Mus musculus: one gene and its partners. The protein of the gene in region 1 purifies or fractionates together with the protein of each later gene. This does not show direct contact. Links are inferred from orthologs where the notes say so. Each region holds a gene or a part of one and is shown in the gene's direction. Other genes may lie near its edges. The genes, in order: Tap1, Tapbp and Canx.

Region 1 (3,799 bases):
GCCTTTGCTGCCTTTGCCCCCAGTCTGTTGGGATTAAAGGTGTGTGCCACCACACCCAGCGACAACTCCTTTACTGGCAAGCACAGGCCTAACCAGATCTTTCCTTTCTTTTCCCCCTGCATTGAAGTTCCTGCGCCTCCCCAGTCTCCTACCCGTTACCCGCCTCAGGATGCTGTGCTGACGGGCCCACCCTGGCCCCCACTGTCAGCTCCTCTTGTCTCTGTGAACCGCTTGCTCACTGTCTCTCTTCTCAATCTGGGCAGGTTCCATCACATCTCGGGTGACTGAGGACACAGCCAACGTGTGCGAGTCCATTAGTGGCACGCTGAGCCTGCTGCTGTGGTACCTGGGGCGAGCCCTGTGTCTCTTGGTGTTCATGTTTTGGGGGTCACCGTACCTCACTCTGGTCACCCTGATCAACCTGCCCCTGCTTTTTCTTTTGCCTAAGAAGCTGGGAAAAGTGCATCAGGTACGTCCCCAGATCCTCAGCTCCTACATTTAGTTTCTCCTAGACTGCTTTCAGTGTGGCTTTCCAGTCCTCCATCATCCTGAACCTCTGACCTGTGACCTCTGACCCCGCACTGCCCTGCACCTGCATCTCTGTACTCTGCCTTCTTGTCTAACTTCTGGCCACAATCTGTCCTTAAAGAATAGGCTCTCAGGCTGGAGAGACGGCTCGGGGTTAAGAGTGCTGACTGTTCCTCAGAGGACCTGAGTTTGATTCCCAGTGCACACTAAGCAGTTAGTTCTCTGTGGTCTGTAGTTCCAGCTTCAGGGGATCTGACTCCCTCTTCTGGTCTCCATGGAGATCTATACACATGATGCACACACATACACGATAAAATAAATCTTACAAAAACTGGATTCATTTCCTCCACGCCCCTTCTACCTAGAAGTATGGCTGTAGACCTTTCTCTTCCCTCTGTCCCTCTGACTCTTGACTCTATAATCTCCACGCAGCTAACCTAGGTGTCCATATTCTCTCTCATTTGCACCCCGTGTGATGTCTCTGGTCCTTGTCTTCCATAGTCACTGGCAGTGAAGGTGCAGGAGTCTCTAGCAAAGTCCACGCAGGTGGCCCTTGAGGCCTTATCGGCGATGCCTACTGTGCGGAGCTTTGCCAACGAGGAGGGTGAGGCCCAGAAGTTCAGGCAGAAGTTGGAAGAAATGAAGACTCTAAACAAGAAGGAGGCCTTGGCTTACGTGGCTGAAGTCTGGACCACGAGTGTGAGTACAGGAGGTGGATATCCCATCCTTTGTGTGAACATGTCTTGATTCTGCTGTTTTCCAACCCCCCTGCTCCTCCTCCAGTGGGAAGTGATTGGCTTCGGCTCTTGATTACTCAATTAAGGACTCTGCCCTTAATTCTCTCAGTGTTTTGTAGTGTTAAGAATCAGCCTTCCACATTGGCACACAAAGCCCACTTGACCTGTGTGTTAAGGAGATACCACTCTCCCAACTCCGGCACTTCCTTGGCTTCTCAGAAAGCCACACATTTCCTGCACGGTGTGCGCTTCATGTTGGCACTGTGTGGGCAAGCTAGTGGGAGCCACGAGAAGTGCCAGAGGCCAGCGGCCAGGGGCAGCTGGAACTAAAGCTGTAACCGAGATTCCAGGATCCTTCCTGCCACCCACCAGTTCTGTATCCAGCACATGTTACCTTTTTCTGAGGCTGTTGCCCTGATTTGAAAAATGGGAGTAAAACCTGATGTGGTGGTTCACATCTGTAATCCCAGGACTCATGCTGAGGCAGGAGGATTGCTGTGAGTTTCCAGCCATCATGAGCTATGATGTGAGACTTGTCTCATTAAAGGGTATTGGGGAGTGAGATGACTCAGTAGGTAAAGGTGCCTGCTGTCGTGCTGCTGAGCCTGGTGACCTGAGATCCATCTCAGGAACCCATATGGAGGACAGGAGAACTGACTCCTGAAAGTTGTCCTCTCACCTCCACAAGGTGCACTGTGGTGCCTACTCACATACAAAAATAAGTAAACAAACAAACAAACAAACAAACAAATGTAGTAAAAAAGTAATATTAAACAGCAGCAAGAAAGGTATAACATAATAACATAATCTCCTATACAGAGGCTCGTGATGTGAGCCGCTGTGTTTAGCTTTGTAATACAGGGTGGACATGGTTCAGCTGTTAAGGATGCAGACTGCTCTTCCAGGTGACCGGCACTTATGAAGGGCAGCTCACAACTGCCTGCGGCTGTAGCTCTAGGGGTTCTGATGCCCTCTTCTGACCTCTGTGGGTGCCTACACTCATATGCCTGTACCCGCAGACAGACAGACAGACAGACAGACAGACAGACAGACACACAGACATAATTTAGAACTATAAAAATAAATCTTTTTAAAAAGTGTCAAATGCTCCTGAAACAAGGAGCCGGCAGCGATGAGGAGGAGGACATGGAAGATGTGAGCTGTGTTTGAGTCTGACCATTGACCCCGCCTTCCCCCTAATCTCACGTGTCTGGGAGAAAAGACCTTCCATGTGATCATTGCAGTTCGTTTCATCCCATGGTTTCCCTGTAGGTCTCGGGAATGCTGCTGAAGGTGGGAATTCTGTACCTGGGCGGGCAGCTGGTGATCAGAGGGGCTGTCAGCAGCGGCAACCTTGTCTCATTCGTTCTCTACCAGCTTCAGTTCACCCAGGCTGTTCAGGTGAGCCCCGCCCCCGCAGTCGGCGGTCTCAGCCTGTCCATTGCCTTCTCTGCCGCTTTGCGCATCCTCCGCCTGTTCCCTGAATGCTGTCAAGCAGGTTAGACGGCTCACTTGCTTTCGTGGTCCATCCCAGGCTCACACACACCCCGCTCTGCAATGCAGGTCCTGCTCTCCCTCTACCCCTCCATGCAGAAGGCTGTGGGCTCCTCAGAGAAAATATTCGAATACTTGGACCGGACTCCTTGCTCTCCACTCAGTGGCTCGTTGGCACCCTCAAACATGAAAGGCCTTGTGGAGTTCCAAGATGTCTCTTTTGCCTACCCAAACCAGCCCAAAGTCCAGGTGCTTCAGGTACTGTCTACCCATCCCTTTTATGCCTCCTTCTTCTTCTTCTTCTTCTTCTTCTTCTTCTTCTTCTTCTTCTTCTTCTTCTTCTTCTTCTTCTTCTTCTTCTTCCTTCTCCTCCTCTCCCTCCTTCTCCTCCTCCTCCTCCTTGCCACGAGCTTCTCTGGCCTCCAGGGGCTGACGTTCACCCTGCATCCTGGAACGGTGACAGCGTTGGTGGGACCCAATGGATCAGGGAAGAGCACCGTGGCTGCCCTGCTGCAGAACCTGTACCAGCCCACCGGGGGCCAGCTGCTGCTGGATGGCCAGTGCCTGGTCCAGTATGATCACCATTACCTGCACACTCAGGTGAGCAAGAAGGAGGTGTGGGGGAGGGGAGGAGATCAAGCCAAGAGACAATTCTCCACGAAAACTCTTGCAGAGAGTTAGGGGATGCAGGCAGCCATGGGCAGAGTCGGGGCTGTGGACAGAAGTCACGTGACTGTATGGTATGCACAAGATTGTGAATCTTCAGTCCCTGGACAATAACACTGGTGTTTCTTGCCTGTGGCTCTTCACATTTGACCTCAGGTGGCCGCAGTGGGACAAGAGCCGCTGCTATTTGGAAGAAGCTTTCGAGAAAATATTGCGTATGGCCTGAACCGGACTCCAACCATGGAGGAAATCACAGCTGTGGCCGTGGAGTCTGGAGCCCACGATTTCATCTCTGGGTTCCCTCAGGGCTATGACACAGGTATCTGCACTCTCCCATCCAGATTCCAACAATCCTGCCTTTATTATTCAATCCC
Region 2 (4,599 bases), about 270 kb from region 1:
CCTGGTCCACCAAGACCCCGATCTAGAAGATGAGGAAGAGGAGGAAGATCTGGTGTTGACTTGTGAGGATGATGAGGATGAAGAAATGGGAGGCGGCTCTGGGGTTCCTGCAGGGGGAGAGCCCGAGGCTACCCTCAGTATCAGTGATGTTCGGACCTTGACCGAGCCTGCAGACAAGGGGGAAGAGCAGGTCAACTTCTGTGAATCCTCCAATGACTTTGGCCCCTATGAGGGTGGGGGCGCTGGGGCAGGGCTTGATGACCCCGGAGGACCCACCCCTTCCTCCTATGCCCTCACCCACCCTCCACGACCCCTCCTTCCATTGGATGTGCCGGGCAACCAGATCTTGGTTTTCCCATCCTCCTCTTCACAGGCTCCAGGCCAGCCACCAGGGAACACAGCTGAGCACGGGGCAGTGACCCTCGGGGGCACCTCTGCGGTGGGGCTGGGCATACCAAGTGGCTCTGGTGGGGCTCCTGGAGGGACAGGCAACAGCGACGGGAATAAGATCTTTCTGTGCCACTGTGGGAAGGCTTTCTCACATAAGAGCATGCGGGACCGGCACGTGAATATGCATCTCAACCTGCGACCCTTTGACTGCCCCGTGTGCAACAAAAAGTTCAAGATGAAACACCACCTGACCGAGCACATGAAGACACACACGGGCCTCAAGCCGTACGAATGCAGTGTCTGCGCCAAGAAGTTCATGTGGCGGGACAGTTTCATGCGTCACCGGGGACACTGTGAGCGTCGGCACCGGATGGGTGTGGGTGGGGTCGGATCTGGACCGGGTCCTGGACCTGGACCCGGGACACCTTCTGGGCCAGCATTGCAACCCAAGAGGGAGTCTTCCACAGTGGGTGGGGGCAGTGGCGATGAGGCAAATTCGGCCACGCCCCCGTCCCATAGGCGTGTCTGGTCCCCACCCAGCGTGCACAAAGTGGAGATGGATTTCAGTGGGGGTGGAGGTGCAGCACACTGAAGAGCAGGCAATTGGGGAGCTTAGTCTAAGAGCAATGGCTCCCGGGGTTTCCCCCACCAAACAGTCTTCCCTTACCTCGGTGGACTTGTATATATTCTAGAGAAGGGCGTGGGTTGCACCGTCGCCAGCCCGTTCCATTCCTCAGCCCCTTCCTCGAGATCTCTGGAACTAAGCTGTGTTTTTGCTTTTCCCCTGAGCACACCAGAGCCCCACCTTCACGGAGTAGTGCCAACAAGGTGGGGGAATGGAAAAGGGACCTTTTGAGCATCCTAGAGTCACAGAGCCAACAGTCAGGTTGTGCTAGTTTGTGCCTGAAGTCTGTGTTTGTGTTGTGGGACAAGGCCTTTGAGTCTTAACGATTGTCCTTTCTCCTCTTGAAGGATACGCCCCTTATTTCTGTACTACCCCACCCTTGCCATGGGGATCCCAAATTGGGTTGTCATGAAAGTGGGTGGACACAAGGTGGGAGCCGCGTAGTATAGGTCTTAATTTTTAACGGTGATTAAAATATTTATTGGTCACTTCACTTGGCTTCCCAACACCCCTCTGTTTGCTGGGACCTGGCACAGGTCTGGGAACGCGGGAGTGTGGTTTTAAGGGAGGTGGCGCGGAGAGGGCACAGCAGGAGGGCGGAGTCTAGGCTGATAAAGGGCTCAAAGTTGGCGCAGTCCGGTGAGCCAAGGGGGTGGGTGCAGGGCGAGGAGTGGCTGGAGAGCTACAGACAGGGTTTCGGCAACTCTGTTTGGCCCCTGTGGGCGGCGTTCCTCCAACGCGCAGTCACGCCCTCACCTGACCAGATCGGGGAATTTCCAGTTCCTCACCCCAGCCTTAGAAGGAAAATGAAAGTGAAAGGGGAAGAAAAGACTTGGTAGGAGAGATCGTAGCACCATGAAGCCTCTGCTCCTGCTCGTCGCTGTGGCACTGGGTGAGCAGACCCCATTTCTTCTTGTTTAGGAATAGACACACTGGGAAGGAGAGGGAGGAGGTCCCATGGCGGGTCTGAAGGGGCGGGCCGGTCGCCGGTCGCCGGACATCCTATGGCCCTCTGGTCACCGGAGCCCCTCTCCCCAGGCCTAGCGACCGTCGTCTCCGTCGTCTCGGCTGGACCAGAGGCGATCGAGTGCTGGTTCGTGGAGGATGCAGGTGGGGGTGGCCTGTCTAAGAAACCTGCCACACTGCTACTGCGCCATGGACCCAGGGGACCGCCGCCCCGGCCAGATCTTGACCCAAAGCTATACTTCAAGGTGGATGGTGAGTCTTCGGGACTTACCTGCATCTGTCGCCTCCTCTTAGCTCACGCAGGGACGCTGGGCCTCAGTTTTCCCTTTTGTAAATACGTTTGGATGCTCTCTAAGTCGTTCACTACTTTGCTAGTTTGTGCCTTCCGGCCTGTGTGTAGTCAGCACATTTCCAGTCCGGGCTACCGTTACACCCTTTTCGGTTCTGCAGACCCGGCGGGAATGCTCCTGGCCGCCTTCAGGCGGTACCCCGCAGGCGCCTCCGCCCCACACTGCGAGATGAGCCGCTTCATCCCGTTCCCTGCCTCGGCGAAGTGGGCTAGAAGTCTGAGTCCGGAGCAGAACTGCCCGCGGGCCCTGGACGGGGATTGGCTGCTGGTCAGCGTATCCAGCACTCTCTTCAGCCTCTCCAGCCTGCTGCGACCACAGCCGGAGCCTCTGCGGGAGCCTGTCGTCATCACCATGGCAACAGGTAGCCGCCGAGAGGCGCGCGAGATGGATGGGTAGTTTTTAAGGATCTAGATGGGCCAGTTCGGCGACTCGCCAAGAGGTTTGAATGGGTCATTTCTTCAACTGGGGATCAGTATATATTCTTTTGTTAAGGGAAGGGAGTTGGTTAGATTTTATCTTCACCCTTCATTGTAGGCTGAGAGTAAAATTGAAACCTACTGTGGTTTGGGGGCGGGACTTTGCAGAGGCGGTCATGGTGTCGGTTTCCAGATCCCAGAGTTTGAGAAACTCATAAGGTTAGGCGTCCCGAAACCCAAATTTTTTCTGCACCCATCCTAGGTTTCAAAAATCACACTTTGAGTCTCTTCAAAGCGCACTAGAGACTAGGGACAGTCAGCCCAGCAAGGAACCTCTTGCCAAGGCTCTCGGCCACGGTCTTTAGTGCCTCAACAGTGGCCTCTAGTGGGCAGAACGGTGGCTTGTGCACAGGTGCGGTTCTGCCGCTTGAGTTCCCAGAGATCCACCCACCACTTTGCTGTGCTGGACAGGGGAAGGGGCACTCTATGGGGTAGATCTGTCTTGAATGTCCTGAATGTTTGCTTTTCTCTCTGGACACCACCTAACAGGTAGATAGAATCGTCATTGGCTTTCCCCATTTCTGGTGCTTTTATGCAAATATTCTCACCGAACTCAGTCCTTTGCCTTCATCATTTGAAGTCTCCAAATGGGGACAGTCTGAAACTCCACTGGCACCTCTACTCTTAGCTCCACCCTGTGCAGGCCCTTTGTGGGGACAGTAGTTCTCTTGAAACCACCTGCCCTCACACTGCTGGTCTTCATGTGGGATGGTGTTGGCTACCTTTTGCCCTATGGGTCGTTTTTTTCCAACTGTAAGAAGTAGGATCTATTTTGCCAGCTACTTTTATTTGTGGCATTGAAGCAAGGCCCTGTGCAGCTATGTGCTGGTCCAATAAATGTTATTAGCACCAAGAAAAAGTTAGGACCCTGAGGTCCCCAGATCGACCTCCAGATAACTAGCAAAGAACCTACTGAAAGCTTGGGCTTGGGAATCACAGTGTATGGGGTGGCCCTGCGTGCTCAGTGACGGGTGATCAGATGTCGACTCACCGTGCTTCTCAGATCTGTCAAAGATAATCCCATGTGGCTTCTGCAGGGCAGGTGTGTGTGCCTCAGTGACTGTATTAGTTATTTGCAGAGTTAGTTTTGTATGTGTGTGTGTGTGTGTGTATGGGTATATGCGTGTGAGTGCAGCTGCCCAGGGAATCCAAAAGAGCTTGTTGGATCCTCTGGGGCTGGGTTACGGCTGGTTGTGAGCCATGTGGCGTGGGAACCGACCTTGGGTCCTCAGAAGTGCAGTCTGTGGTTTAAAGTGCTGAGTAGCCTCTCTAGGCCCTTATCTGAGTCCTAGAGTGCTCTGGACCAGAGCTGACTCTCAGAAGACTACTTCGCATAGACTTGGGGTAAAATCAAGTTACTATGGCCTGTCTTCCCCATCAGATCACTTTCAGGTCACTTCTGCTTGATATGAAAATCATGAAAATGGGGGTGGGGGTGGGGGTTGGGTAGATGGCACATCAGTTAAGAGGACTGGCTGATCACCCAGAGGGTCTGGGTTCACTTCACAGCACCTACATGACAGCTCACCGCTGTAACTCCAGTCTCAGGGGAGCTGGCACTCTCACAGACATACACACAGGCAAAACACCAGTGCACCTAAAAGAAACCATTTAAAATCTTCTAAAAAGAGAGAAAATAATGAAAGTGGTTTATTTGTTGCTGTCACCTTCCCCCTCCTGCTCCCAGGGCACTGACAGCGTCAGGGAAGCTCTCTGCCAGCAAACCTCAGCCCCAGCTTCCTTCAGCCTTTGGTTGAGACACAGGGTCAGCTCCTAAGCAGGTTCCCTTGCC
Region 3 (4,593 bases), on another chromosome or scaffold:
AAGGTATATGCCTAGTCTCTTTGTATTTGCTAACTTTGTTAAGGTTTAGCTGTTTGGATAAACTGAAACATAAAAGAAACTTGTAATATTCTATAATGACACACCATGAACAGACCAGAAGACTGACGTTCCCAGTCTCTTTGTGGACAGTATAGTTTAGAGCCATCATGTCCTCATTTTTATTAAAATTTCACATTTATTAATGTATGTATGTGAATTTGTATAGAGGTCAGAGTACAATTCAATCTCTTCTTTCACCACGTTGAGTTCTGGGAATTAAATTCAGGCCATCAGGTTTGGTGGCAAGTGTCCTTACCTGCTGAGCCATCTCCATTGCTCCCAAAACATTTTTAGTATATGGATCCCCCAAATACCTGAGAGTCACTTTTTTGCTCTTCTGTACAATTTTCTCATCTCAAGAACTTCCTTCCAACTCCACCTACAGAAAATTTGCATATCTATGAGGTCCAGTTCAAGTCTTTGTCAGTTTAGACAGAAAAGTTCTGCCTCAACTCCTCTACTCCTTCAGTACTGACATATTTTAACACCTCTCTGCAGAAGTCGATTTTTTGGCTTTCTTAAATTCAAGGCCATCTTGGGTAACACAAGCCAGAACTCAACCTAAGTAAATTTAGAATTTTTTTTTAAATTATGTGTACTGCCTGTGCCAAGCTGGCTTCAAATTTTCATTTTGAACATGCTCTTTATAAGGCAAATAAGGAAAGCAATTTCTCTTCTTTAAAATTAGGGAGAGAGAATTGGCGGTTACTAAATTGACCCAAACATCAAATCCTTACTGCCTTTCTCTTGGGGTGGCAGGAACAAAGCTCGTTTCACATGTAGAAAAACCTGCTGTTTCTTTCCACATTATTCAAAGCTTTGGGTCACCAAATACAACCCGAGGCGATCAGGATTCTCAAGGATCTAGCCAAATCCTTAGCCACTTCAATCTTACAGCGTTATCAGCATATTGAAAAACGAGTGGGTTATGAAAAGGCTATTTTAAATCTGCACATGGCATCACCCTTTTCCTCAACTCTGTCGCTTAGGTATGTCTGATTTTAACGACTAAAATCAGGAAACAGCACGGGCACATGGGAAAGTGACTCCATGTGGCTTGATTGTGAATCTAGGTAGTGTTTTGTTAGGTAAAGAGGTCTCAGGCTCCTGAGCTCAGGGCGATGACTCCGCAGGAAAGGCGGTGTCTGCTACCCAGAGGGATTTCACTCACTGCGCAAGCACACCGCCCGACCTCTCACCATTTGTGATGAAGGCCATAGGTCCCAGGCGGGGTTGGGACAGAGTTCCTAACTCAATGGGTCGGAAAGCCGTCTTCTGGATGTCCAACACACCCGCCCTGAGGGACTAGGGCGACCCACGCGAGAACGCGTGCCAGATCCGTCCGCCCTCCGCGGCGCGCGCCCGCCCGTTTGGTGACGGCCCGCCTTCCTCCTTCATACCCAATCAGCAACCACTTCCTGCCTCGCTATTGACCAATCACCACGCTCCACGAAGAATAGCCCTAGGGGGCGTATGGGAAGGCGCTTCGAGCGATGGCTGTATCTACCAATAAATTCTTAGATCTTGCGCAAAGGGGCGGGATCTGACGTTCGTTTTAGCCACTCAGGAACGAGGGGCGGACGCGGGGTTGGGCTTCGTGCGGTGGGGCTCGCTCGCGCGGCGGCCGTAGCCGAGGCCTCTTAGTTCTGCGGCACGTGACGGTCGGGCCGCCTCTGCCGCTGTCTCCACTGCAGCACGGGGCCGGGTGTGCGGGTGGGAGAAGGTGAGGGAGCCGCCAGTGGTCCCCGGGAGGCTCGAGGTGAGACGGGAAGCGTGTGCGGGGATCTCAGGCCCGGGACGAGCCTTGGGGGACTGGGCGAGCGGCGCCGTGGCGGAGGGGGTCGGGCGTGGCTGTAGGCTCGACGACTGAGGGGTCGGGCGGGCTTTCGAATGGCGCAGGCCTGGGCGGACGCGCAGGGCAGTGAGGAGAGCGGCCGGGTTAGAGAGGCTAGCCTGGGCAGCGCCGCCGGGGTCGGGAGGCGTGGCAGGTGTCCTGGGGTTTCCCTTGACCTCTGAGAAAGCTAACAACTTCCTACGGCTTTGCTTCTAGAGCTTTCTTAGGCCCTGGCCAGGCCCACCCAGAGGTGGGCTGAGTAATCCGGTACAGGTGTGGTATTAGAATTCGGCCTAGTAGGTAGCCCAAATAGCAGGGAAAGGTGAAGTAAATCCAGAGATAAGCGTTACAGATTAGAAAATAACTTGCCCAAAGGGAAGACTGGACCATAGCATCCTGATGAGGGAGTAGAATGTACTAGAACGTGTACCGCTTGAGAAACTTAAGGCTTAACTATTAAAGCACCTGCCTATTCGGTGGTGGATAGATAGTAATCCAGTGTGGGTGTTCACAGGACCTTAAGAGCAGGAGATACAAGCGAAAGTTCAGTTAGTGAGGGGAGGAAACTGAGGCCTAGAAGTTTGAAATGACTGGCCCAAGGTCATACAGGTAGTTCTAGTCATCCAGTTGGGATTGTAACTGAGCACTAGACCGTTTGGGTTAAAAGTCCTGGTTCAAGCACCTAACTGCAATTAATCGGGGGAGTGGGAATTTGGGAGATTTTTTTTTTCTACTTTAGGGCTCAGTCCCCAGGAGTAGACAGAATGACTGATGGGCCTTGTATTGAATTCCGAGGGAATGGGAATGAGAAATTGGATGTGTAGTAAAGGTTCAGTGGGTAGGAATCGAACTGGCTTCTTGAAATCCGAATGCCTTGGTCATTACACTGATACACTAATGTTTATATTGAAGGCCTGTGTGCCAAGACCTGAGGACACATTGATGACACTTTGTGTATTAACTGCTGGTCATGACACTAGTGATTGCATTGCTAGTTGTGTGAAGTTAAACCAAACTGAATACTAAAAGCTTGGCAAAGTTGAGCTACAGTCTCTTTACCCTTCAGAAATGGAAGAATCTGCCTGTTTTTTAAAAATAATTTGCCCTCCCACCCCTTTAAAGGGGGACAAGTTGGGTTACCTTAAAAATCTTTGTATATTTTCCAGTAACCTTTGAAAGGGCATGAACAGAATCAATTCTCATGTTGTACTTATACTGTAATTAAGCTTACAGGCCAGGCAGGGGTACACTACAGGTGAGCCAGGCCCTGAAGAACTGTATATAGTAGTGAGCCATTCACAATAGGAGTTTACCGAACTGTCTGTGAATGGGTGTCACCTCCTTGCTATCTTAACTCAACAGTGCAATTAACTCCTTAATCTTTCAAGAGCCACAAGGCATGTGCATCTTGACAACACACCTTGCATCCTTGTCCTGCAGAGGTCACTTGCCCAGTAAGAGAACTTTGAGGGAGTAGAGTGGCAGTTGCTAAGAATAACTGCAGAAGACTGTCCAGCATGATAACTTTAATTCCTATCCTTTAAAAATGGGAATGAAAGAAAGAAAGAAAGAAAGAAATGGGGATGAGTGTGCTACTTGCTTTGCCTTTGAGAGGGCAGATACTAAGAAACTGTTTGGGAAAGTGTAAGGAAATGGACAAATAGTATTGGCAGCTCATAAAAAGTCCTAAGAAGTAATTAAAGTGCCAAAGATAGTTGTAGTCTGTATAGCTTACTGTAAAACTCATTAGGAAAATGCTTGTTAAATGCTTTGTTATTGCTACAAATGCTAGGAAAGAATTTTTAGGCTTATTTAATTTTCTGTGTATGTGTGTTTTGCCTGCATGTATGTCTGTGTACCATGTGTGTGAGACCCATCATATTGGTGCTGGGAATCAAACCTGGGTCCTCTGGAAGAGCAGCAACTATGTCTTCAGCCCTGAAATTTTTCTTTTTTCTTTTTTTTTTTTTTTAAGGAATCTAGACAATTTTTATATTGTATTCTTGTCTTTAAAAAAAATCATTTTAAGATTTATTTAGGGCTGGAGAGATATCTCATCGGTTGGGGGCACTGGCTGTTCTTCCAGAGGTCCTGAGTTCAATTCCCAGGAACCACATGGTGGCTCACAGTCATCTCTAATGAGAGCCGATGCCCTCTTCCGGTGTGTCTGAGGACAGTGTACTCATATACATGAAATAAATCTTTAATATGTGTGTGTGTACTATGTACATATATATATATATTTAAAAATATGTGTATGTTGGTGTGAATATATATGCAATATATTATTCATGGGGGCCAGTAAAGGGCATTATATTCTCTAGAGTTGGAATTACAAACAGTTGTAAGCTGCCCAACTGGGAATTCAACTCTTAATCACTGAGCCATCTCTCCATCCTGCGTATTCACATCTTAAAGTGAATTAATAGGAAAAAGTTTCTTTTAAAAAAAATCACTTATTAGCTGGGTGGTGTGGTGGTGGCTCACCTTTGATCCCAGCATGAGGGAAGCAGAGGCAGATTTATCCCTGACTTCAAGACCACCCTGGTCTACAGAGTGAGTTCCAGGACAGCCAGGGCTACAACAGAGAAACCCTGTATCAAACAAAACAAAACGAAACAAAAACAAAAAACCCACCACCACCAAATTACTCCTATGTTTCTGTTAATGAAAACAAATCCAAGAAGGTGGTATATAAT

What was found.
Region 2: the proteins of Tap1 (region 1) and Tapbp purify together in Homo sapiens (co-immunoprecipitation; 6 studies listed by BioGRID and IntAct, with this or other methods). This does not show direct contact. The link is inferred for Mus musculus from reciprocal best matches to the Homo sapiens genes TAP1 and TAPBP.
Region 3: the proteins of Tap1 (region 1) and Canx purify together in Homo sapiens (affinity purification with mass spectrometry; 3 studies listed by BioGRID and IntAct, with this or other methods). This does not show direct contact. The link is inferred for Mus musculus from reciprocal best matches to the Homo sapiens genes TAP1 and CANX.

Annotation. Positions count from the first base shown.
Region 1 is NC_000083.6:34,190,300-34,194,098, forward strand, and holds part of Tap1 (antigen peptide transporter 1), read left to right. Parts: intron 1-263; coding exon 264-469; intron 470-1,029; coding exon 1,030-1,227; intron 1,228-2,537; coding exon 2,538-2,666; intron 2,667-2,828; coding exon 2,829-3,017; intron 3,018-3,185; coding exon 3,186-3,359; intron 3,360-3,581; coding exon 3,582-3,744; intron 3,745-3,799. UniProt on the Homo sapiens protein: ABC transporter associated with antigen processing. In complex with TAP2 mediates unidirectional translocation of peptide antigens from cytosol to endoplasmic reticulum (ER) for loading onto MHC class I (MHCI) molecules.
Region 2 is NC_000083.6:33,917,818-33,922,416, forward strand, and holds the start of Tapbp (tapasin isoform 2 precursor), read left to right. Parts: upstream 1-1,660; 5' UTR 1,661-1,870; coding exon 1,871-1,907; intron 1,908-2,053; coding exon 2,054-2,233; intron 2,234-2,252; exon of another isoform or gene 2,253-2,431; coding exon 2,432-2,692; intron 2,693-4,599. Other genes in the region: Zbtb22 (zinc finger and BTB domain-containing protein 22), read left to right, coding at 1-982. UniProt on the Homo sapiens protein: Involved in the association of MHC class I with transporter associated with antigen processing (TAP) and in the assembly of MHC class I with peptide (peptide loading).
Region 3 is NC_000077.6:50,322,719-50,327,311, reverse strand, and holds the start of Canx (calnexin precursor), read left to right. Parts: upstream 1-1,638; 5' UTR 1,639-1,819; intron 1,820-4,593. UniProt on the Homo sapiens protein: Calcium-binding protein that interacts with newly synthesized monoglucosylated glycoproteins in the endoplasmic reticulum. It may act in assisting protein assembly and/or in the retention within the ER of unassembled protein subunits.